Linked DNA regions of Coturnix japonica. Each later gene encodes a partner of the first gene's protein in a complex. Links are inferred from orthologs where the notes say so. Each region holds a gene or a part of one and is shown in the gene's direction. Other genes may lie near its edges. The genes, in order: TBP, transcription initiation factor TFIID subunit 4-like and TAF10.

Evidence for each region.
Region 2: TBP (region 1) and transcription initiation factor TFIID subunit 4-like share a complex: the UniProt entries of both Homo sapiens proteins name them as parts of the TFIID basal transcription factor complex. The link is inferred for Coturnix japonica from reciprocal best matches to the Homo sapiens genes TBP and TAF4.
Region 3: TBP (region 1) and TAF10 share a complex: the UniProt entries of both Homo sapiens proteins name them as parts of the TFIID basal transcription factor complex. The link is inferred for Coturnix japonica from reciprocal best matches to the Homo sapiens genes TBP and TAF10.

The regions. Positions count from the first base shown.
Region 1 is NC_029518.1:36,562,666-36,570,721, reverse strand, and holds the start of TBP (TATA-box-binding protein), read left to right. Parts: upstream 1-3,448; 5' UTR 3,449-3,558; intron 3,559-5,333; 5' UTR 5,334-5,522; coding exon 5,523-5,576; intron 5,577-6,619; coding exon 6,620-6,954; intron 6,955-7,572; coding exon 7,573-7,660; intron 7,661-8,056. UniProt on the Homo sapiens protein: The TFIID basal transcription factor complex plays a major role in the initiation of RNA polymerase II (Pol II)-dependent transcription.
Region 2 is NC_029526.1:9,438,104-9,446,059, reverse strand, and holds part of transcription initiation factor TFIID subunit 4-like, read left to right. Parts: coding exon 1-830; intron 831-4,271; coding exon 4,272-4,444; intron 4,445-7,956. UniProt on the Homo sapiens protein: The TFIID basal transcription factor complex plays a major role in the initiation of RNA polymerase II (Pol II)-dependent transcription.
Region 3 is NC_029516.1:173,983,233-173,991,288, forward strand, and holds TAF10 (transcription initiation factor TFIID subunit 10), read left to right. Parts: upstream 1-4,093; 5' UTR 4,094-4,136; coding exon 4,137-4,332; intron 4,333-4,570; coding exon 4,571-4,719; intron 4,720-4,811; coding exon 4,812-4,876; intron 4,877-4,964; coding exon 4,965-5,079; intron 5,080-6,398; coding exon 6,399-6,488; 3' UTR 6,489-6,566; downstream 6,567-8,056. Other genes in the region: TPP1 (tripeptidyl-peptidase 1), read left to right, coding at 279-400, 1,067-1,257, 1,441-1,639, 2,519-2,707, 2,784-2,856, 2,953-3,073, 3,163-3,321, 3,564-3,701 and 1 more; ILK (integrin-linked protein kinase), read right to left, coding at 7,472-7,621, 7,778-7,908, 7,996-8,056. UniProt on the Homo sapiens protein: The TFIID basal transcription factor complex plays a major role in the initiation of RNA polymerase II (Pol II)-dependent transcription.

The DNA.
Region 1 (8,056 bases):
CGAGAATACAGGATTGTAGACAGCATTGCTGCAATAGCTCCGGTAGTCATGGTCTTGTTGTTGGAATGCTTGTACATCTGCAAATGGCACAGCACGTCCAGTGGGAATGTCACACACAAATTCATACTTCATCCAAAGTACATTTTCTGTAACTTCATTACTGAGGGAAAATGATGCTTAGCAAAATATTAACCGGTATGCTTACAAAAACAACACTGGTCCAACAGTAATACCCTAAACCAAAATTCATACTTTCCTGAGACATAGCAAAGAACAGATGTTGCCTCATTATTCTCTTTAGTGCTTCCATTTTTAACCCTGTGATGTTACACCCGGCAAGAACAAGGCCTCAATTTCACCCTGCCTGATCTTTCACTAGCAATACAGCTACAGTTACAATATGAACACTTGATGAAAAAGAAGAAATTGTATTTAAAATTATAATAGGCCTCAAATGCAATACCAAAAATACATTTCTAAATACATTAAGATAGCTACCTTTAATCTTGCTTCAATAATCTTTGTGAGTGTAAGGCAGTCACCATGGAAGCCACTGCATCCAATGACTGTTCGCTCTGTTCTGTAAAACAAAGTTTAGTTGTGATTTTAGATTTAGCACGAACTATATCAGCTTCTTATAAAGTAAGTTATGAAAATATCAAGTGTATTTCCAGCTTCTCAAATGCTATCAGAAATAGTTGTCTAAAATGTAGTAGTAACAGGTATTCCAATAATAAAAGCTGACTCATTAAGTGCAGGATCACACAGATGTTAGTCTTCAACCCACTGATTTCCACAGCAAAGCTTTGGAAAGAAAAAAATACCTTAATTTCTTCAAGCACCTCTAACTGTAGCTATTACCAAGCCGTGTCATGTTACTCAATATGTTTTTACTCCATCTGGCCAGGGAACTGCTTTTAGCTGGTGAGGTAATGTTTATGATGTAGGTGATTTTTGGTGTCAGCACAACAGTGGTGACCTCATTGCAGCCTTTCAGTACCTGAAGGGAACCTGTATCCATGAGGGGAGTGAACTCTTCGAAAGGGCTGACAATAGCAGGACACGGGGAAATGGTTTTATGTTAAAAAGGGAAGATTTAGGTTGGATGTTAGGTTAGGGGGAAGTTCTTCACTAGGAGAGTGGTTAGGCCCTGGAACAGGCTGCCCAGGGAGGTTGTGGATGCCCCGTCCTTGGAGGTGTTCAAGACCAGGTTGGACGGGGCCCTGGGCACCTGATCTAGTAAAGGTGTATGTTTGGGGCCCTGCCAGGCAGGGGGTTGGAACTACATCTCCTTGACGGTCCCTTCCAACCACGGGTCATTCTGTGTTACTGTATCTGCTGATGTACTATACAGTATTAGCAGTTTGATCAGTTTCATAGCAAACATTTAACATTAATTAACTGGCACTAACATTTAAGCAATAACTACAGGAACCCACATTTGAATTTTAAGTTCTATAAATCTATGAAAGCCTACAAACACTGACATATTGTCCTGGTTTTGGCTGGGATAGAGCTCACTTTTTTCCTAGTAGCTGCTACGTTGCTGTGCTTTGGATGGAGGGTAACTGTTGGTAACATCCATGTTTTGGCTGTTGCTGAGCAGCATTGCACAGAGCCAAGTTGCTTTCCCAGCTTTTCACACTGCCATGACAGCAACTGAGGCCATGAGGGTGCAAGGGAAGCTGGGAGATGGGACCAGGGCAGGACAGCCAATCCGAACCAGCCAAGGCGATGTCCCATACTGTGCAGGGTCACGTGGACATGATAAAGTTGGAGAGAGCTGATCAATGTCGCAAGGAGAATCTGATCTAAGGAACTGGCTGGGGCATTGGTCAGCAGGTGGGAGAGCAATTGCCCATGCCTTCCATTCTCTTTATTATTATTTCCTTCAATTTTCTGACCTATCAAACTACTTTTGCATCAGCCCATTGGTTTACCTTGTGTTTTTTCCAGTATCATAGTCTCGTGTGGGTTGGAGGGCCCTTAGAGATCATTGAGTCCAACCCCTGGGATTCGAGCCCCTGTGTAGCAGAGCGGGCATTCTACCACCTTGCACACCACAGGGGGATTCGAACCCAGGCTCTCTTTCACATCCCACTGCAGGTGGGTTGTGGTGGAAGCAAGCAATACCTGCCCAGTGCTTTAGCTTCAATGAGGTTAAAACACCAGCACACATTTATAAGTTTAAACACTCAAAACCACTTCAATTGAGATTGCCTCAATTTCTGTCACCCGAATTACCCAAAGCCATCCTGGGCTTCTACACCTAATTGTACTAAAGCAATCTTCCACTGGACAGTAACAGAGAATCAAAGATACTACACAGAGTTACAGGCTCATTCTTCCATTTCAGTCCTTACAAGGTGCAGACTTACAGTTTGTAGCATTTGGGGCTGTCCCGGCTGTGAATTGCATAACCTTCACTCAGCCGTGTGTCGGAGGCAAACAATGCTGAAAGTCTTCCCCAGCGATCGCCAGCACAGTCCTTAAAGAAGAGCATTCATATAATTCACACAATTGGCACAACTTAGTTCTTAGGCAAGCGATGAACAGCCAGAAGAATAACAGAATGACCCGGGTTGGAAGGGACCTCAAGGATCATGTAGTTCCAACCCCCCTGCCTGGCAGGGCCACCAAACATACACATTTACTACATCAGAGTTGCCCAGGCCCGTCCCAACCGGGTCTTTGGAACACCTCCAAGGACGGGGCATCCACAACCTCCCTGGGCAGCCTGTTCCAGGGCCTAACCACTCTCCTAGTGAAGACAGAAGGCAAAACGACAACGAGCAAGACGCAGCCCAGCTCACCTCCCCCCGGCCCATCCCTGCCCGCGGCTCTCACCCGCCGTTGAAGGTGTATGGCGAGAAGCGGTACTGCACAGGTCCGCCCAGCCCATATCCCGGCTCCGGCCTCAGCTCGGCGTATCGCGCTGCGGACAGCATCCCTACGGCACCAGCCCTGCTGTCTCACGGCAAAATGGCGGCACCGGAAGCGAGGAGGCGGCGCTCTACGAGGCACAGGCACCTCGTCTCGTCTGCTCTGGAGGTACCACGCCCCATCGGCGGTGACCACCCGGCCGCATGGAGCCGTGCCAGCCTTCGGGCGGCAGGGCCGGCAAGCACAGCAGGCTCTCGCCATGAGCACACCAGCACACCGTGTGCCCCGGTGGTGCAGTAGTAGCAATGCCGCTTTGCAACACCGCAGGCCCTGGGTTCGAATCCCCCCTGTGGCGCGTGTGGTAGAAGTGCCGCTCTGCTACACAGAGGCTCGAATCCCGGGGGTTGGACTCGATGATCTCTAAGGTCCCTTCCAACCCGCACCACACTGTGACACTGTGAGCACGGCACCACACGCTGTGCCACGAGGTGCGAGTAAAGCCAACACCCCGCAGACAACAGCCCGCAGGCCCCGCCCTCACTCAAGATGGCGGTAAGAGGGGCGGGGCGGATTCGTGGCGGAAGTGACGCAATCGAGGCGCGCCGGCGGCGCGGTCTCGGGGCGCAGCCTGTGTCCCGCAGTTGCGGTGCTGGTTGTGGCGGCGCCGCGCGGCAGGTACCGGCCGTTCCGTGTCCCGCTCCGCCCCGCAGCCCACACGGCGCGGGCTGTGCCGCTTATGGCGGGGGGGGTGGCCGGGCCGAGCCCGCTTCTTACTCCCCGTGGGCGCCGCCGTAGGGTCGGGGTCCTGCGGGCGGGCCCGAGCGGCGGGGAGGGGGGGAGGGAGAGAAGGGATGTGCGGGGTGAGCGGGCCGCGGGCCGAGCGGAGCGACGGGAGCGATCCCGGTACGGCCGTTGGTGCCGGGGGCGTGATGGCGGCGGGACGCGGTCACCGCCTCCCACACGTGACGGCGGGCGGGGAACGCGGCGGCGGCGGCGGCCTTGGGTTCGGTACGGGAGCCGTGATCGGCCCTTGCCCTGCACGTGGGCCTGGTACCGGGGCTCGGCGGCTGGGTTCGGTGTATGTGGAGTCCGCGCGGCGTGTTGGGCCTGAGGATGGGCTGCCCGTGATGCTGGGTAACGGCTGGGCCCCTTCTTTGCACGGTGTGCAACGTGGAAACGCCTTTGGGTAAAACAGCGGGTGGTTAATGTGATACTGAGTGCCTTAAGGACGAGAGAAAGATGGGCAGGCTTTCTTCAAATGTTTCAGTGCTGTGCCTTAAAATGGCTTAGGAGCTCTCTGTGTAAGTGTGCAGTTAAGCTATAAATGAATAGGAAAAATATCTGATAAAAAGGCTTAGCATTTCATAATATAGCTATGCAGAGAAGGAGCTGGGTGTTTGCAGACAGCAGGTTGGCCATGAGTGTGCCCCGGTGGCCCAGAGGGCCAATGGGATCCTGGGGTGCATCAAAAAGAGCATGGCCGGCAGGTTGAGGGAGGTGATCTCCCCCTCTGCCCTGCCCTGCTGAGGCTCCATCTGGAGCACTGCGTCCAGTTCTGGGCTCCCCAGTTCAAGGCAGAACAAGGAGTAGTGGACACAAACTGCAGCATGGGAAGCTCCGTACAAATAGAGGAAGACAGAGCTGCCCAGAGAGGCTGTGGAGTCCCCTTCACAGTAGGTACTCAAAACTTACCCAGCCACTCTCCTGCTGTAGGGATCCTGCTTTAGCAGAGGATTGGGCTCAGTGATCTCTGGAGGTCACTTCCAGCCCTTACAGCGCCATGAAAGCATTTCAGTTCTCTATTTGTATTGTTTCTTTCCATTGCGTGCCAATAGAGGTACAGGTCTTTGTTTAAAAGGCAAAAAACAAACAGTAAGTGAAACAACACCCAGAAGAATACTTTCGTTTCATGCATATACCTGGAATTGGCTTTTAGTTTCCCTTTTTCCCCTCGTGAAGTACGTCATTGCAATTCAAAATACATTAGTGCTTTGCTTTATGGAAGTAGATGGGAGGAGGTTTCCTAAACCTGAGTTTACCAGCAGTATTTTCATATAGCAAAATCAAAAAACAACTTTGGAAGGCCAAGCCTTAACTCTGCCCAGGGGGAGATGTGTGAGCGAAGCGTGGCTTTAGGCTCGTCTGTCAGTAGCTGGTGGAATTCAGTTCTGAAAGTCAATGCTTTCCCATCTGAAGCGATGCATGCAGGACTGGAGCTGTGTGTGAAGGAGGCCTTCGTTGTGGAGGCGGCTGCTCACGTGCAGTGGATGTTCACCAGGGGCACTAGGGCTGTAGAAAGAGATTGCTTTATATAAGGTGCATGGGTGTGTGCGTGCGTATGAGTGTTCTCGCATATATTTGTATGTGGGCATTTCTTATCTAACAGACCAGCTGATAAGCCTGCTTTTGTTTAAATGTTATTCTCAAGATATTACTTCTTTTCTTTTCAGGCCCTGTTTAGTGTTTTAGACTCGCAACGTGTTTTCTCTGGAGCTGATGTTTTCCTGACACGTTTTCAGCTTGGCTAAAAAGCTGCTTTGCTGGAATGCTTTAGAGGGTCAAAAACCCTTTTTGGTTTTAAATTAATTTCAATTAATTGAAGGAAATATTTCTGGCCTCACCAAAGAATAACCGGAATCATGGATCAGAACAACAGCTTGCCACCCTACGCTCAAGGCTTAGCCTCCCCTCAGGTAAAAAGGGATGATGTGATATGCAAAAGCGGTCTGAATTTCTTTGTGGGAGTGTTTTCTGTGTCTTGTATGTTATTTCTTTGTGTCTTTTTTTGTTTGTGTGTTTGCAGATCTGAAAAATTCTACTGTATATAACTTACTCAGTAAAAAGCAGAGATGAAAAACCATTTATATATAGATAGATAGATAGATATGGGTATATATAGATATATATCCAGAGGTTTAAGAAATACACTGATATATTTATGGTTTTCATGAAGCTGAAACATTACTGGCATGTTGAAAATAAGAAGGTTCAGGGGAGACCTCATTGCAGCCTTCCAGCACTTGAAGGGAACTTGCAAGCAGGAGGAGGGGGGCTGACTTTTTAACATGGTCTAATAGCAGTAGGACAACGGGGAATGGCTTTAAACTAAAAGAGGGAAATTTAGGTTAGATGTTAGGAGGAAATTCTTTATTCAGAGAGTGGTCAGGCACAGAGAAGCCTGTGAAGCTTCTCTTGGCCAGAGAAGCTGTGGATGCCCCATCCCTGGAGGCATTCAAGGCCAGGTTGGATGGGGCCCTGAGCTGGTGGGTGGCAGCCCTGCCTATGGCAGAGGGTGGGACTGGATGGACTTTCCCTTCCAACTCAAGTCATTGTATCATTTTAACTTTGTTCATTGCTTTTGGAATCCTTTAAATTGGCTTATATGTAATGGACTACAGTTGTGCTGTGAATGCATTTGCATTCTAATGATTGCAAGTAGGAATTGTGGGTCAAAGTTGAGACGCACTTTCCAGGTATTGTAGGAAACGTACCAGCGTCGCTGACTGGTGCTGAGAAGTGTTGGAATTGACAGATCGATTGAGGTTGTGATTCATGTTGTGTAAGAACTGAATCTTCCAAAGGTTTTCTGTTTTTAGCAAGTTAGTAATATACCGTGGGCTTGATGTGACCAGCTAAGATGATTTATTCTTAGACTCCTACTACTTCAAGCTTCTTCTCTTTAAAACAATGTTAAGTCAAAGCGTCTGTGGTTTCTTTTTCATGTTTTCTTCTGCAGGGTGCAATGACTCCTGGAATTCCAATTTTTAGCCCAATGATGCCCTATGGCACGGGACTGACACCGCAGCCTGTCCAGAGCACCAACAGTCTGTCTATCCTTGAGGAACAGCAGCGGCAGCAGCAGCAGCAGCAACAGGCAGCACAGCAGTCTACATCACAGCAAGCGACACAGGGAACATCTGGTCAAACTCCTCAGCTCTTCCACTCACAGACTCTTACCACAGCCCCTTTACCAGGAACCACACCTCTGTACCCCTCCCCAATGACTCCAATGACTCCTATAACTCCTGCGACACCGGCATCCGAGAGCTCTGGGATAGTGCCACAGCTACAGTGAGTGTGTTGTGTGCTTGTACACCGTGACATCTCAGGATGTGCTTTAACTCGAAATATCCAAGAGCAAAGCCACATAAGTAATTGTGTACTGCATTTTGATAGGAAAGAAGGTCTTGAATATTTATTTGTATGAGTAGTGCAGAACATTGACATTGTAAACTACTTTTTACAAGGGTGGATAGTGATAGGACAAGGGGGAATGGTTTTAAACTGAGACAGGGGAGGTTTAGGTTAGGTATTAGGAAGAAGTTTTTCACCCAGAGGGTGGTGATGCACTGGAACAGGTTGCCCATGGAGGTTGTAGATGCCCCATCCCTGGAGGCATTCAAGGCCAGGCTGGATGTGGCTCTGGGCAGCCTGGTCTGGTGGTTGGCGACCCTGCACATAGCAGGGGTGTGCAGAGAATTTTGTTGGTGAGATAACATCTGTAATGGAATTGGAAGGGTTGAAAGGAAGTACTGCCCTAAAAGAGGAGTTTCCTGTCAGTAGGAGAGATGTCACTTAAGCTTGCTTGGTTAAACAAATGAAAAGAAATTAGTAAGTATGTTATGATGGATAAGATGCGTGAATTCTTTAATTTACTTTTTAAAATGTATTTCTCTGAACTATTTTCAGGAATATTGTGTCCACGGTGAATCTCGGTTGCAAACTTGATTTAAAAACAATTGCGCTTCGTGCCCGAAATGCTGAATATAATCCCAAGGTAAGAGAAGTGTGTTAGAATGTATCCAGTAACAGGTATGTGGGCAGAACATCTCTGGAGTGTGCTTTGCTGTAAGTAGCTGGATTGAACAGGGGGGGTTTTATGGCCTCGCTCCCCCTCTAAGCTCTGTTCTTTCAGATATTCCCCCAGTACTGGCTGTTGCTGTCTGTTATAACAGCGATGCTGTTAACAACTGCATGTGAGTAAGATGCTCATGCAGCTCACATTTGAGTGTGCGATGCTGGCTGTTATGTTAGGGGTAGGTGGCTGTGCAGAGCTTGTAGGCTAGAACGATCAATATGAAATGCTGGATTTTCACAGCAGAGAGAAAAGAAGGGTTATGTAACGCACTCGTGACTTTTAGTCAGTGCATCCTTTTATGAAACAAATAGCTTG
Region 2 (7,956 bases), on another chromosome or scaffold:
GCAGCGGGGGCACCCCGCGCCCCCCCCCGCTACCGGGGCGGAGGAGGCTGCGGCGGGCCGTCCCGGAGCCGCGGAGAGCCGAGCCCCCGCCCCGGGGCCGCTCCCGTCCCCGTCCCCCCCGGCGGCAGCGGCGGCGGTAGCGGCGGCGGCGGCGGGGCGGGGAGTGAGTGTAAACAGTAGTAGTGTGCAGCAATCACATGGAGCGGCTCTGCTCGGCGGCAGCCCCGCCGCCCCGGCCCCGTCGCAGCCCGCCGCGCCCCCGCCCGCCCCGCCTGTCAACAACCATGTGGCCGCCGGCACCGGCTCCCGGGACGCGGGCAGCCCCAGTCCCGGCCGCAGCCCGCCCGCCGCGGAGCCGCAGCCGCGCAACGAGGCCGCGGAGGGGAGCGGGGCGGAGGGCGGCGGGCGGGCGGCGGCGACGGAGGGAGCCGACTCCGCCGATCCCGCTCCGCTCCCCGGCGAGGCGGCGCCCAACGGGGAGGGCGCCAGGGCTCGGGCGGCGGCGGTGCCGCCGGTCAGCGGTCGGCAGAGCCCGGCCGGCAGGGAAGGCGGCGCGGCGCAGCCCAAGCCCGCGCACGGCCCGCAGCCCGCAGTAAACGCACTCGGCAACTCCGCCAGCCCCGCGCCCGCCGCTACCCCGCCGGGACCGGGCTCGGCCGCCAAACCCGCGGGCGTCTCCAAGCCGGCCGCTGCCCTCCCAGCCGCTTCGCAGGCGCTGTCGCCGCGGCCCGCCCTGGGTGCCGCCCCGAGGCTGGTGGCCCCGCAGCTGATCGTCAGGCCGCCTCAGCAGACCACCATCCAGCTGCCGCCGGGCTTCACCATCCCGCCCGGTAAGTGGGGCGGGCGGGGCGGGCGCTCGGCTCTGCTCGGCCTTTCTCTGACGGAGGTTTTCAAAGTTCGCGTTTTCCCGCTGCTCGGCGTGTTGAGAGCTAAAGGACGAGCACCCGTCTGAGGGCGAGTTCTGGCCGACTGTCCGGCATGAGCGAGGTTGTAGTTGGCTTAGGGCACTTTGCTGTTGGTGCAGAGTAGTTGTGCCTCTTGTTTGGCGAGTACTTGTTTCCTCTCGTTGGGAGAATGGTGGTCACGGTAAGTTATTTTGTAACGGTGTAAAAACAGCTGTGCACCAGAACAATCTGGAGTGTGTTAACCAGGAATCACGTCTCTCTTGAAGCGTTCTGCAATCTCTTGATATGGAGAAAAGTTTTCGTTTTCAGTGAGCACCTTCTGATGGGCACCAGGTGACTGTATCCATACTACACAGTCTGATTTAATGTGAAGTTTGTCCTTTTGGGGTGCGTGACTGTGTTGCCCCTTACTGCGTACTCACAGCCTTGCCATCACTGGATTTTGTTTCCAACCACGAAGAATTCCCCATGTCCTGCTTGTTCTCCTTTTATTTTCTTGGTGTTGTTTTGTAAAGTTACAAGTTTAGCTGGTGAATCAAAGCAGCATCTCCCCATCCCGGTACCAGGTACCACTTTACCTGAACATTCCCAGGGTCTCAGTTTGTGCTTAGATTACAGTGTTGCAAAAAGTTGCTAAGTTTGTTACAGGTCCGGGAGATGAATTGGTATGTAAACTTTTTTTTCCCCTCTTTTTTCTATCGAGGTCAGCAGTGTGACACTACCTGGAGATGCTGATGTAACCTCAAATAATCAATTTCTTTTGCCATGTTTCTTTTAATAGCTGTTTTTTGTTAGCTAAGATAAATTTTTCTGTAGCTGTGTATTTAACTGTAGTTTATGGAACTCCAAATTCTGGTGTCCCAACTGGATAAAGCTCAGAGGTTTCCCGGAGTCGTGACTAACTCAAAGGGGTTAGTTTAAAAATGTCTGGCTATATTCCCACTATGTTGGTGGCTTTAGCGATTGATTTCACATTTTTAATATGCTTGATTAATACTAAATTCATGTGAGAAACTGTACCATGACTTTCTATACAGTTTCTGCGGCTTATTGCCTTTGTTCCACTATGTAGTTTTTAAACAGAAGGGGAAAACGGAGCCCTTGAAAGCAATCTTGTCAGAGGTTTAGAGGCAGTTCTGGAAACAATAGTGTGGAAAATGTTTCACTTGAATTTAATTTTATTACTAGATAGCTTGGAATCCATTAAATTGCATTAACGGGAGGATAGCATGTTCTAAGGATGAGAGTAATTCAGAAAATACACTGTTATTTTTGATTAATTACTCTTAAGTTTGTACATCATTATTAACTGATATTGAAACTCCTGTACTGTGATCTTCTGCCTAATGCAGAAGTTTAGAATGAGTTTATTTTAGCAAGTATTACTATATTAAGCATATAATAACCAGTTCTAGCACTTCATACTGGCTTATGAGTTGGATCTTTTCGTGGCTGACAATAAGGAAAAATTAATCTCCATGTTTAACTCAGTTCCGAGGATCTGATCACTTCCTACGTGCTGCAAAATAGTTTTCAAGTCCTTAAAGCTGGATTAAAATATAAAATTGCTGCACGAACATCTTTGTGTCTGTAGAAGCAGTTATATCTGCAACTTTTATTGAAACCATGTGGCTCCTGTTGCAATTAATTTGTACATTCTGTTCATTTATTAATTTTTTTAAAAATTCAGATTGAATTTTACAAGGTTGGAAAAGTAATTAACAAGACAGATGTGAATTGGTGTAATGCCAATAGAACGTGTTTTTTTTTTTTTTTTTAATATGTGCTAGGCTTTATCCTATAAGGATTTTTCTATTAGGTTAATGACACTCAGAGGAATGGTGTCTGTTCTGCACATTGGGGCAGTGTATTAATATTGGTTTGTCCAGAACAGCAGATATCCAATGCAGCATCTGCCTGTGGGGTTTCTACAGACCATTAGGTCTGGTGCCAGAAGGGCTGATGCACCCAGAAAGTTCCTGTTTTAAGATCTGTTGTTGAACTCTTCTTTTAAAACTTCATCAGGCTTTGAGGGAGATGTGATGTATCCTTTGGATGAGATCCTCACAGTAGCTCTGTGTGCTTTTGGCGTTACAGCTCAGTTCCCACAGCTCTTCCGTTCATAGTGGCAGAAATGTGTTTTCTGTTTGTGATTTTTGTGAGCTGGTGAGTGAGGGCTTCTATTGCAGCTGCAATTCAGTTGTGTTCATCATGAGACTGGGCTCTGTGGTTCTGTGTCAGAGACTGAAATAAATGTAAAGACTGCTTCTGAATTTGGTTACTTGCTGGATATAATAGTGCTCAATATGTTTCAAAATCTATTTACCGAGGTTGTTTGTTTGTTTGTTTCTGGGAAGCTGATACTTAGAAGTGAGTATACGTTTTTACCTTCTTTATTTTCCATTGCAAAGTTATCAAATGTGCATGAAGAAATCTACACATATAGACAAGTTGCAGGAACAATGTCTCCTGGCTCTGTTATTAACAGACTGAAAGAGATTTCCTAGACCCTGAAAGACCTGTTCCTTCTTGACAGTATCATGTATCCTACTTGCATCTAAGTTAGATTGGAATGTATTCGGAGACTAACTTGGAAATTCTTTTTAAATAACGTATCTGGATAATGGCTTCTTAGTTCTGACTGATCTAGAAAAAGCACATTATGTGCTTGTAGTGATCTTGAATTAAGCGTAAAGATCCAGGTGACCCAGGGGCCAGCTGAGCCATTGGAAGCTCCTTTTTGACCTGCTGATAATGGAAAAGCAGGACAGTTACAATAAGGGAAAGTCTGGATGTGTAGAGAGGCTTTTATTTGTGAAGTGTATTATGAGAAAACAAAAGTATTTTCATTTACATCCAGAAAGTACTGTGTTCATTTAGAACAATTCCTTGGGATTTTCCTTAGATCCCCATGCTCCTAGTTGCGTTGGGTCTCTGGGTGTGACAGTGTTTTTTCTTCACGCCCAAACCTCCTGGTACAGTGATGGTAGGTGCCAAATAAATTAATGTGTCAGTGCTGAAACATTAACTAGATCTCAAATATTGTATACTCAGGAATGTGTCTGGCTTAATATTTGCATCTACACATTCCCTAATGCTGTTGTTTTAGTAGAGCTTTCTTGTCATTGTCCCTGGTATGTTCAAACTAAATGTTGTTCTCAGCAACTAGACCGTTGTTAGAGTTTACTTTAATGACTATTTATTTCAACTTTAATTCTCCAAACGGGACAATGCTATTGTTGATTTTATTCTGTATTTCATAGTTCTTTATGAAATATGTGATTCTTTATGATTCTTATGAAAAATGCAATTCTTTATGATTTGTCATGTTATTCTTTACAGTTGTTGTCACTTTATTCTCACTAGGTATGGTCTTGGTGCGCACAGATGCTGGACAACTTGTGATGGTGCCTCAGCAGGCTCTAGCCCAGGCACAAATGCAGGCTCAAGTACAGACACAGGGACAAGGTCCTACCAGCATTTCGCCTCGACTTTCAGTGCCCACAGGCGGCCCAGTTTTTCGTCTAACAACAACTCAGGTATGTCTGGCTTGGTTTCACCTTGCTTTTGTGTGTGTGTTTCATTCTCCTCTGTCATCTCATCTCATACATTATCAGTTCTTTGACAAACATGTTTCTCGAAGACAGAAATTGGTTTGGAATGTGTGCCATTGACTTAGTAAATGACATTGTTCCCTCTGTGAGTCACTGTGATATTCCAGCACAGTGAATGGATTTATGTGATCACTAGATTTTACTAGAAATTAGAAAAGAAAAAGCAAAGCACTTTCTGTGCCAGAATTCACAGTACTTAAATTTCTGTAGTACACTTTATTTGGAAGAAGGATTTGATTCCTTTGATTCACTTCTGGATGTGATTGGTCTGCACTTAAAGTTTTGTCTGTGTTTTGACTACATTTTACTCTATTTTAATATGGATTGACAGGATACTGTGCTTTTCTACCCCAGACTGTTTCAGTGGAGAGTGTGGAGTTTGTGTATTTATTTATTTTCAATTACTTTGTATACTTTTTTGGTTTAAAATTCTGTAAGGATGCTGTTCAGCTTCAGACTATGTATGGCCACTGCTTAACTGTCTTACTAAGATGTAGAGGCAAGTGCCTTCAGATGTGTAGGGCTGTTGTGCTGTGATAATTACTGACAGAGTGAAAGGAAGTTTTGCCTAAGTTCTTTGTTTATAGAAGAGATAGATAACCCTAAATGAAATGGGGTGAAAAATATACCTTTATAATTTTCGACTGATTCTTGTGTAGCTTGCTTGAAGTATCTTGAATGTGTGTTTTCCTGTGTTAATATTTGATTGCTATCCCATTATATGCTTTGTGTTTTACACCCTGTTTGTAGTTTAAAAGATTGTTTAGTCAAAAACTAAAAACAGTGATAAACTTTTCAGAAGAGAAGGAAGCCAGAATAGAATTGTATAATTGAAAATGAGGTAATCTAAACCATAGAGCAGCCAAGTAAAATGCGAGTTTTAGATGTGAATGTAATAGGAGTAATGTGTAGTTCAAAAGAATGTATCTCAAGAAGAACACAAAAGCCTGGAAACATCTGATAAACTTAATGCTGTCAGCAAAAAGGGTAAGCACAGTATTAGATGGAATATTGTAAAAGAACTCTGCAGGAAAGGCAGCTGGTTAATATCTAAATTCGTGATATCTGGAAGGGTAAGAAGATTTGTAAAAATCCTTCAGAGATAAGTGTGAGATGTCAGGAAAATAAACACAGCGACAAGCCTATATTGATTTCCAGTTGTTTTTTTGTAACTAATTTGACACCAAAAAAAGTCTGGACAATGTTCATTATTTAGTTTGTATGTCTGTCATTGGTTGTTTGCTTTCTTGTTTTGTTTGTTTGCTTTTAAAATAAATGCTCCACTTTTTACATAGCACACACTCTAGGAATGGATTCTGAGATGAGCGTATAGTATAAATGCATAACAGATCATGGGTGGGACTGCACCAAGAATATGACCTCAGTCTGTTAAAATGACTTAGGTTTAGTTGCTTTGGTTTCATACTGTAAGTTTTTGTGCAACTTCAATTGCTGTGGCTAGCATTCAGAATTAAATTGGCTGCATGTGTTCAATCTTTATTGTAAGATTGGAATTTTATGTGTGCACAACTGATGTTGGGAGTTGATCACATTGGCCTCGGGCAGGTGTTCTCGAGTTATGTGAAGCTGTTAAGATTGTGGAAATAGTGTAATCTGACTTGTTGGGTTTTTCTGAAAATTAAGCTCTGAGGATGCTGCATGTTCATGTGGTGGCAGAGATGCTAAAAATCTGATGGAGGTAGTTCTACTATTAGGATGATGTAGTTATTTTTCTACAGGATTCTGACCAGCTAGATAACCTGCAGAGCATGATAGATATCTCTTTATACGTATTGGTGTTAATTAACAGCTTGAGAATAGGGGCTGGCAAAGCCCTAGGAATGGTAAATGCCTCACAGCATACAATAGTTTGGGTATTTTTAAGGTGGTGGGATTTGAGTCATGATATTGTAGCCAGTCAGGATTCATCTTCTTTGAGAGACCTGTGTGCCTCTAAAAAAAAAAAAAAAAAAAAAAAAAAAGTGGGGAAAATAAATAAATGTTTTAAGTGTTCTTAAATTGAATTGACTTAATCAATAGATTAAGTTGTTTGGGAGGGAAAATTCCCGTGACTTCAGCAGCTGTGCTTATGTCCAGGACGGTCTATGAGGAAGAGCCAACTTTCTGTAGGAGTAGCAGAAGAAAGCGTAGTTTAACTTCCCTCAGGATTTAGCATATGAGCTTAGTATAACTCTTTCCTTTGATTAAAAAACAAGCGCGTGTTGCCTTGCTGAAGGGTCAGAGCTCAAGTATCTCCATATAAGAATATTTTCCTCCCTGTGTAGAAAAGTATGTATTGTGATTGCAGTGTCAAACAGAAAAGTTCAGGAAAATTGAGACATGCAAATTCCCATTCATCCTACAGTAACCTCTTCAACTGTGCAGCGAGTTACAGTCTCTGTGTGATAAATGCACAAAGATAAAAGCATCATCTAGACCAGGCACACCACTTCTACAATTACTGCTGTACTGCAAACTGAAATTTAGTTTTCTTGCCTTTGGGGTGCTTGGCTTTCCTATTCAGGTTACTTCTTCTGATTACAGTTAAAATTTCTGTTAAAATTCTGGGAACGGATGAAGCAGATAAGCAAGTACCTTGTGGGAGAGGCCTCAATTCTGATTAGTTTAATGCAGAGCTTAAAGGCCGTAGAGTATGGGAGCATCACAAAAGAATGTGCAATGTTTGATGGGCAATCAGAAGTAGTGGCCTGGACTTGGGGTGAAGAATCAGCATTTGAAAATAACAGCATAGTGCAGAGAAATCAGCTGTAGAGAGAAGTACCTGTAATATGAAGGTATGTGTAATATTTCAGTGATCTTCTAAATTTGCGTGTGTGGTTTCTTTTAGTAAAATATTAAAGAAAAGCTTAAATATGTACAATTGTACATTAAAATAATTTCAGTTTAGATCATTAATAAGGTTGTAGATGACCATGAGAGGGGTGTTCACTACAACTAACTACACTTTTTTTTTTTTTATTTTTTTTTTAAGGGAGATTATATGTCCAAATATTCAGATATAGAAGAACAAAACATTTTTCAGTTTAGGAATACAATTCCTCTTCTCCGTGTAGCCAACAGAATCTTATCTTTTTAAAATGTTCCATGTTCTATCAGGAAGAACTTACTCTTAGGAAGGATTATTATGAACTTTTGTTGATTTAAGAAGTTACACTGTGAGTACTTTCTCACTGATAATGCTTGTTTGAAAAGAACATTTAACAAAATAATAAATTGATAGTGAATATTGGTTTGAAATAACAGTGCATGATTTGCTTTTTTTTTTTTTTCCTACACATTTGATTTAGTTCCTTTTGTTTTTGATAAATATTATTTTTTTTTCCTGCATATTAAATCATTAACATTGGCAAAACTGTACATGTTGTACGGCCTTAAAACAGAATGCTTAAAGAATGAGCTGTTATTTGATGAAACTT
Region 3 (8,056 bases), on another chromosome or scaffold:
TCAGGACAGGTGGACAAGTGAGACAGACAGGTGTGTGTGTGTACAGCTGTGCTTGGGCTGCCCCACACCTCCCTGTGCCCACAGGAGGGCTGGGGTGAGCTCCACTTGGCTTCTGTGCTGCTCAGCCCGGGTACAGAGGGCACTCCTTGCTTCACAGAGGCTGTGTGGGCAGGGAGAGGTGCTCATCCTGGCTCCTTCCATCAGTGGGAAGGGCGGCAGGGTGTGTGCTGTTGTGTTGTGTTGTGTTGTGCTGTATGTGAGCTGTCCCTGTGTTGCAGCACGGCCGAGCGCCTCCTGCCCGGGGCTGAGTTCCATCGCTATGTGAAGGGCCAGCGCAGCGTGATCCGCTCCCCACAGCCCTACGTGGTTCCCGAGGAGCTGGCAGAGCACATCGACTTCGGTACAGTGCGGGGCAATGGGGCTGCTCAGTGATGCAGGTGGGAGGCTGAGCACTGCTGGCCGGGCTGGGGCAACCACAGTGCACAGAGCACGGCGCTTCTCTGGCTGTGCCCCAGCCGCCCTGTGCTCCTTGAGGAGCCAGGTGGTGACCTCAGTGCTTCCCATGGCATCTCTGGCACCGGCTGCTCAGTGCTGGCCGTGCAGGTGTCTGTGGCCGTGCAGGTGTCTGTGGCCGTGCAGGTGTCTGTGGCCGTGAGGTGTCTGTGGGGCCGTCGCAGGTGCTGTTGGCCTGTGCAGGTGTCTGATAGGCCATGGCAAGGTGTCTGTGGTTGTGCAGGTGTCTCTGGTTGTGCAGGTGTCTGTGGCCGTGCAGGTGTCTGTGGCTGTGCAGGTGTCTGTGGTTGTGTAAGTGTCTGGTTGTGCTGCTGCCTCTGAGGGGTGGAAGCTCCCCCCGTGAGGAAGCCGTGGCACTGCAGTCATTGGCACAAGGAGAACACAGCACGCTGGGCAGTGGTGGCTGCACAGCAGTGGGGTAATGGCAGCCCAGGAGTGCAGAGTGCTATGGGTGCTCCCTGTGCCCTCCTTCCAGCCAGGGTGAGGAGGGGGAGCAGGGCTGTGCCTTACCAGAGCGCAGGGCCCTGGCACCTTCTCCTTCTTTGCGGAGCAGTGGGGGGCCTGCACCGGTTCCCTGCGGAGAGGAGCGTGGTCAGCAGGGCCTGGGCCAAGGAGGGGATGGAGTCCCATGGGCAGAGAGCAACCTTCCACCTGGGTGTGATGCCGTCCGTCATTCGGAAGCGATACAACATGACGACAGCAGACATTGGAGTGCTGCCCAACAACAGCCAGGCCTGTGCCCAGGTACAGCCCGGTGCTGGGGGGGCAGCAGGTTGCACCCCAGAGCTGGGGCACCATTGCAGTGGGCACAGGGTGCTGTGGGAGCGTTCAGCAGCTGCTGAGAGCTGTGGCCAATGTTCCATGAGCACATTGAGCCAACTTCCCAGCTCTGGAGAAATAACTCCGTGTCCTTCTGTGTCCCCCCAGTTCCTGGAGCAGTATTTCCACCAGGCTGACCTGGCTGTGTTCATGAAGCTCTTTGGCAGCAGCTTTGCCCACCGCACAAAGGTCGACCACGTGGTTGGGCACCAGGGCCAGGGCAGGGCTGGGCTGGAGGCCAGCCTGGATGTGGAGTACATCATGAGCACGGGCGCCAACATCTCCACGTGGGTCTTCAGCAATGCAGGTACTGATCCCCTGCCAGGCCTGCTTTGCCCTCTGTCTGCTTCCACGTGTCCTGCTCGATGTAGCACTGACCCGTCGGTTCAGGGAAGCGGCCATTCCCTGCCAGGGCTGTGAGATGGGCTGCTCACAGTCCAGCTGGTGTGAGTTGCACCTCACGTGGTTCCTCATAGGGGCCGTGGCACTGGGGTTTCCCAGCTGCTGTGGGTACATACTATGTGGGCTTCCAGCACCGGAGCCGCTGTGGGTCTCTGACAGCTCTCACAGGAGGCATCATCCATTGCTTTAGGATACGTGACTGTGCACCATCCGCAGTGCCCTGCAGCGCTGCACACCTGCCCTGGCTTTGCAGTGTGAAGCAATCACATCACTCCCCTCCCTCTCTATGCAGAGCTGACCTGGCCATGAATCTGCCACGGGGTGGGGAAGGGCAGTTTGAAGGAAGGGGGCTGCAAACCAGTATGTGCTGGTGCTGTGCAACAGCAGTTTGTCCATGTTAGAGGATGGCCGGGGGCTGAGTGCACCGGGACCGTGTGCTCTGTCCTGTTGATGTGTGCTGGTGCACAGACCCTGTGTGCAGGTCTCTTCTGTGCTGCCTGCAGTGTGAGAAGAGGACAGAGACTCTGAGCAGCTGCAGGGAGTCTGGGACCCTCTGCCCTACACTGCATGGAGAGGGGAGAGGGGCAGGAGGGGCCTCGGCAGGGATTGGTGCTGGTCCCAGAGCCATCCCTGCCGTGCTGCCGTCAGCTGCTCTGCTGATGGGAATTCAAGGCAGCATCCAACCGAGCTCTGCACCCACGGGCAGGGGCAGGAGGGTCAGAGCCGCTGCTGGGGCAGCACAGTGACCCCGATCCGCCCTGGAACTGCTGCTTTGTGCCCGCAGGGCGGCACGAGAGCCAGGAGCCGTTCCTGGCGTGGCTGCTGCTGCTCAGCAACATGTCGGCGCTGCCCTGGGTGCACTCGGTCAGCTACGGGGACGACGAGGACAGCCTGTCTCAGGCCTATCTGCAGCGGGTCAACGTGGAGTTCATGAAGGCGGCCGCCCGCGGCCTCACCGTGCTGTTCGCTTCGGGTGCGTGAGCTGCGGGGCCGGGGGCGTCCCGCTGCCCAGCGCTCCGGGCGCCCCCATCACTCGTGGCTGCCCGCAGGTGATGACGGTGCCGGGTGCCGGAGGGTGCCGGGGGGGAACCACACGTTCCGGCCCAGCTTCCCGGCCTCGAGGTAACGGCGGCCCCGGGCTCCTCGTGGCTGCGGGGCGGTGTGAGCCCCGGGGGGGGGTCGGGTTTGGGGGGGTCCGCAGCACCTGCCCGTCCTCAGCCCCTACGTGACCACGGTGGGCGGCACGTCCTTCAAGAACCCGTTCCTGGTGACGGAGGAGGTGACGGATTACATCAGCGGCGGCGGCTTCAGCAACGTCTTCCCCATGCCCGACTACCAGGTGCGGCCGGGGGCGGAGGGGCCGCGGGGGGGGCTCCCCGGTGCCGGCGCTGATCGGGCTGATGGAGCTGATGGAGCTGCCTCCCCCAGGCCGATGCGGTGCGGAGTTTCCTGCGCTCCGCCCCGAAGCTGCCGCCCGGCTCCTACTACAACAGCAGCGGCCGCGCTTACCCCGACCTGGCCGCGCTGTCGGACAATTACTGGGTGGTGACCAACCGGCTGCCGCTGCCCTGGGTGTCGGGCACGTCGGTGAGCGCGGGGCGGCGGGGCGCGGCTCGGGGCCGTCGGGTCCCGGTTCGGTGCCGTCGGGTCGCGATTCAGTGCCGTCGGGTCCCGGTTCGGTGCCGTCGGGTCGCGGTTCGGTGCCGTCGGGTCCCGTTCCGGTGCCGTCGGGTCCCGGTTCGGTGCCGTCGGGTCCCGTTCCGGTGCCGTCGTGTCGGTGCGCTCCGCCCGGCGCTGAGCCGTGTCCCCCGTTGCCCCGTTCGTTCCAGGCCTCGACGCCGGTGGTGGCGGGGCTGCTGGCGCTGATCAATGACCGCCGCCTGCAGGGCGGGCAGCCGCCGCTCGGCTTCATCAACCCCGCGTTGTACCGGCTGCGGGAGCGCGGACACGGCGCGGCGCTGTTCGACGTGAGCGGGGCGGGGGGCGGGGGGGGGTCCCGGGGGGTGCGGGGCGGGTCCGGTCCCAGCCGGGCTGTTCGGTCCCGTCCGGTCCGGTCGGGTTTTGCTGACCCCGCCCCGTCCCCAGGTGACCGTCGGCTGCCACGTGTCGTGTCTGGACGCTGCGGTTCAGGGCCGCGGTTTTTGCGCCGTTCCCGGTTGGGACGCGGTGACCGGGTGGGGGACGCCCAACTTCCCGCAGCTGCTGCGCGCGCTCACGGCGCCGTGACGCCAATAAAGGCCGCGATACGAACCGTGTGTGCGGGACCGACGGGACGGGCGGCCAATGGGGAGCGGGGACGGGAGCGGGGCGGCCAATGGGCAGCGGGAGGGGGCGGGGCCGAGGGGGCGTCGCGTCGCGCGCAGGCGCGTTGCGGAGCGGCCGGAGCCGTCGGGGGGGGCGACATGAGCTGCAGCAACGAGAGCGACCCCGGCACCGCGGTGCCCGCAGCGCCCGCAGCGCCCGGGACCACCGGGACCACCGGGGACAACAAGCACAGCCCGGCCGCGGGCGGCAGCGGCGTCCCCGGGGCGCCACCCAGTGCGGCAGGAGGAGCGGCCAGGGGAGCGGACGGGGGAGCGGCGGCGGGGAGGGGACCCGGTGAGTGCGGGGAGGGGAGAGCGGGACCGGGCCGTGATGGACCAGGCCGGGCTGGACCGGGCCGTGCGGTGCCGGGCCGTGATGTGCCAGGCCGTGAGGGACCGGACCGGGCCGTGCTGTACCGGGCCTGCCTGTGCTGTGCCGTGCTTTGCAGTGCCATACCGTGCGGTGCCGGGCCGTGCCGTGCTGTGCGGTACCGTGCGGTGCCGTGAGTCCCGCTGAGCGCCTCCTCCCGTAGCTCCCGTGTCGGCCGCGGCGCCGCCCGAAGGAGCGATGTCCAACGGCGTTTACGTGCCGCCCGGCGCCGCCAACGGGGAGGTGAAGCCGGTGGTGTCGGGGACGCCGCTCGTGGATTTCCTGCTGCAGCTGGAGGATTACACGCCCACGGTACGAGCGGCGCGGGGCGGGCGCTGAGGGCGGGCACCGGCACCGGGCACCGAGTGCTGAGCACCGGGCGCTGAGCGCGGCTCTCCCTGCAGATCCCGGACGCCGTCACCGGGTATTACCTGAACAGAGCGGGATTCGAGGCCTCCGACCCGCGCATGTGAGTGTAAAGGGCGGCCGGGGGGGGGGGGTGCGGAACGACCCCCGGTGCCGTATCCCCGCCCACCCGCCCGTTGTTGTGCCCGCAGCATCCGGCTGATCTCGTTGGCCGCACAGAAATTCATCTCTGACATCGCCAACGACGCGCTGCAGCACTGCAAGATGAAGGGAACGGCCTCGGGGAGCTCCCGCAACAAGAGCAAGGTGGGTGTGATGGGGGGCACTGCCAGGCATTGACCTGGGTCACAGAGTCACAGCGTGGCCTGGGTTGCACAGAACCACAGTGCTCATCCATCCCAACCCCCTGCTGTGTGCAGGGTCACCAACCAGCAGCCCAGGCTGCCCAGAGCCACATCCAGCCTGGCCTTGAATGCCTGCAGGGATGGGGCATCCACAGCCTCCTTGGGCAACCTGTGCCAGTGCGTCACCACCCTCTGGGGGAAAAACTTCCTCCTCAGATCCAACCTAAACCTCCCCTGTCTCACTTTCAAACCATTCCCCCTTGTCCTATCACTGCCCACCCTCACAAACAGCCGTTCCCCCTCCTGTTTATTCGCTCCCTTCAAGTACTGGATGCCCACAATGAGGTCTCCCCGCAGCCTTCTCTTCTCCAACCCAAACCAGCCCAGTTCCCTCATCCTTTCCTCATATCAGAGCTGCTCCAGCCCCTCTGCTCATCTCAGTGGCCTCCTCTGGACCCTCCAAGAGCTCCATGTCCTTCCTGTGCTGGAGGCCCCAGGCCTGGACTCAGCACTGAGATATGAGCTCACAAGAGCTGAGTAGAAGAGGACAATCCCCTCCCTGTCCCTGCTGGCCGCCCCTTTAAATGCAGCCCAGCACACAGTTGCCTTCCAGGCTGCAGGCACACACTGCTGCCTCATATCCAGCTTCTCACCCCCCAAGTCCTCTGCAGGGCTGCTCTCAAGGAGACTTTCCCCCAGTCTGTACACACACCTGGTGTTGCCCCAACCCAATGCATCACCCTGCACTTGTCCTTATTGAACCTCATGGGAGGCTGATGTGTGCTGACTAAATGGGAGGGAGCGTGGTGGGCAGGAGGTGGGCAGTGCTGTGTATGGAGATACTGCAGGGCCACCCAGCCCTGATGGCACCAAACTAACGCTGAGGGAAAAAGATAAAGGGAGGAAGCGTGTAGAAATAGCTTCTGGAATCCACACAGCCCCAATTGTGGCTTAGGGGCAGTGCAATAGATGCGCTGAGTAATGCTCAGTGCGTTTCTCTGCTGTGGAGGGCAAAGAGCAGATGCAGCTTTCAGGCACTTGGTGCTGGTTAATGCCCAGCCACTGGGCATCACACACACATGGACTGCTCCAATGAGGGTCAAAACCCCAACCAAGGGCTGAAGGCACGAGGTGTCTGTGCTGTGTTTGTGTGCTATGAGTGCTGTGTCTGTGCTGTGTTTGTGCTACAAGTGATGTATCTGTGCTGTGTCTGTGTGCTATGAGTGATGTATCTATCTGTGCTGTGTCTGTGCTGTGAGTGATGCTGCCCTTTGTCCCCAGGACAAGAAATACACTCTGACCATGGAGGACCTGACGCCCGCCCTGGCGGAATACGGCATCAATGTGAAGAAGCCGCACTACTTCACGTGAAAGCAGGGCTCGTTGCTGGGGACTTTTCTAGGGTTTGCTTCTGCTCCATTAAACCAATGGGTAGTTTTTTTTCTGGTGGAAAGACCCCCCGTTTCCTGCCGCCCTCCTGCTGTCAGTGCAGCAGCAGCATTTGGCCCACGGAGTTCTGCTCTGCCAGCACCAACAGAAGGTGATGGCTGAGGGCTGCACAGCAGGGAACTGCAGCTGCATCTCCTGGAGGGCTCAGCCTGCCCTGAGCTGCTGCAGGGCTGTGGGCATCGTGCAAACAGAAGCGCCCAGCTTCCTCTGTGCTTTCTTTCCCTGTAGCATGTCTCGTAAGAGGAAGGTTCTGGGGCTGTGACGGCTGCTGCAGCTGCAGCCAGGCTCCTCTGCCTCGCTCTGGGTTTGGCACAGAGCAGCTCCAGCGCCCAGGGCTCCATGTGCCAAGGGCAGCCCTTCTCCCAGCAGCCTATTGAGGTATCAACGCACCCTTCGGCCCGTGGCCAGTTTTCATAACAAATATTTATTTCAGATGCTGGCGGCTTTTCCACGTGGCCTGGATGGAAATGATAAAAAGTGAAGCGCGAAGCTGGGGTGGTGCTGGGCACAAAAAGGCAACTTTCCCCTGCTGTCCTTAGCAGGGAAGAGCACCAGGACTGGACACTGTCAGCATGAGACCAAGTGGGAGAGCTGCCCTGGGCCTGGGAGCATGACGTGGCTTCAGGGCGGCAGAGCCCCACCACGCTCAGTGGCTGCATCCAGGTGTCCTGCTCAGTCTGCCCACAGCTGCCAGGGAGGGTGGAGGTGCTGCCATAGATCGGTGCTACAGAGCCCGAAGCCCACAGAGCGGCTCCAGGGAAGGCAGCATCGCCTGTACCGTGTGTCCATGGCTGGCTCAGGGTGAGGGGGCAGCCCCTGCTCCCCCTTAGCTCTGGGGTTAAAGGCACTTGGAAGTGGTGGGGAAGGGAGCATGGCAGCGGCGGACATCGGGGAGGCACCTCCCTCTACTTGTCCTGCATCTTCTCTAGGATGGGCACGATCATGTCGAACTTGGGGCGCTTGGCTGGGTCCTCGTTCATGCAGATCTTCATCAGCTTGCAGATGTGTGGGGAGATGCCGGGGGGGATGGTTGGACGGAGCCCCTCCAGGGCCACCTGGGAGCGGGCAGAGCAGGGTCAGCCAGCTGGACACAGCCCTGCCTGTGGTGGGCACATGGAGCTCTCCATGCCACTGTGCTCTCCATGGAGCCCTGCCTGTGCTCCCTGCTGACCCAGCTGTGCTCACACTGCTTTGGTCCCCTCCCCCCTCACCTTCATTCCTATCTCCATGTTGGACAAGTCTGCAAATGGCACCTCGCGGGTCACCAGCTCCCATAGCAGCACCGCGAAGCTCCACATGTCCGCCGAGCGCCTGTTAATTTCCTCTGGCTTCTTCTGCAGGGCTGCAGAGAATCCAGTGCAGCACAGGGGCTGAGAAGGGCAGGGAAGGGGGCAAAGCAGCAGGAGGGGCCCGACTGTCTCACACTCACCTTCTGGTGCCACCCATGCGGGCGCATACATCCGCCCGGGGCACTGGAAGGAGAACTTCAC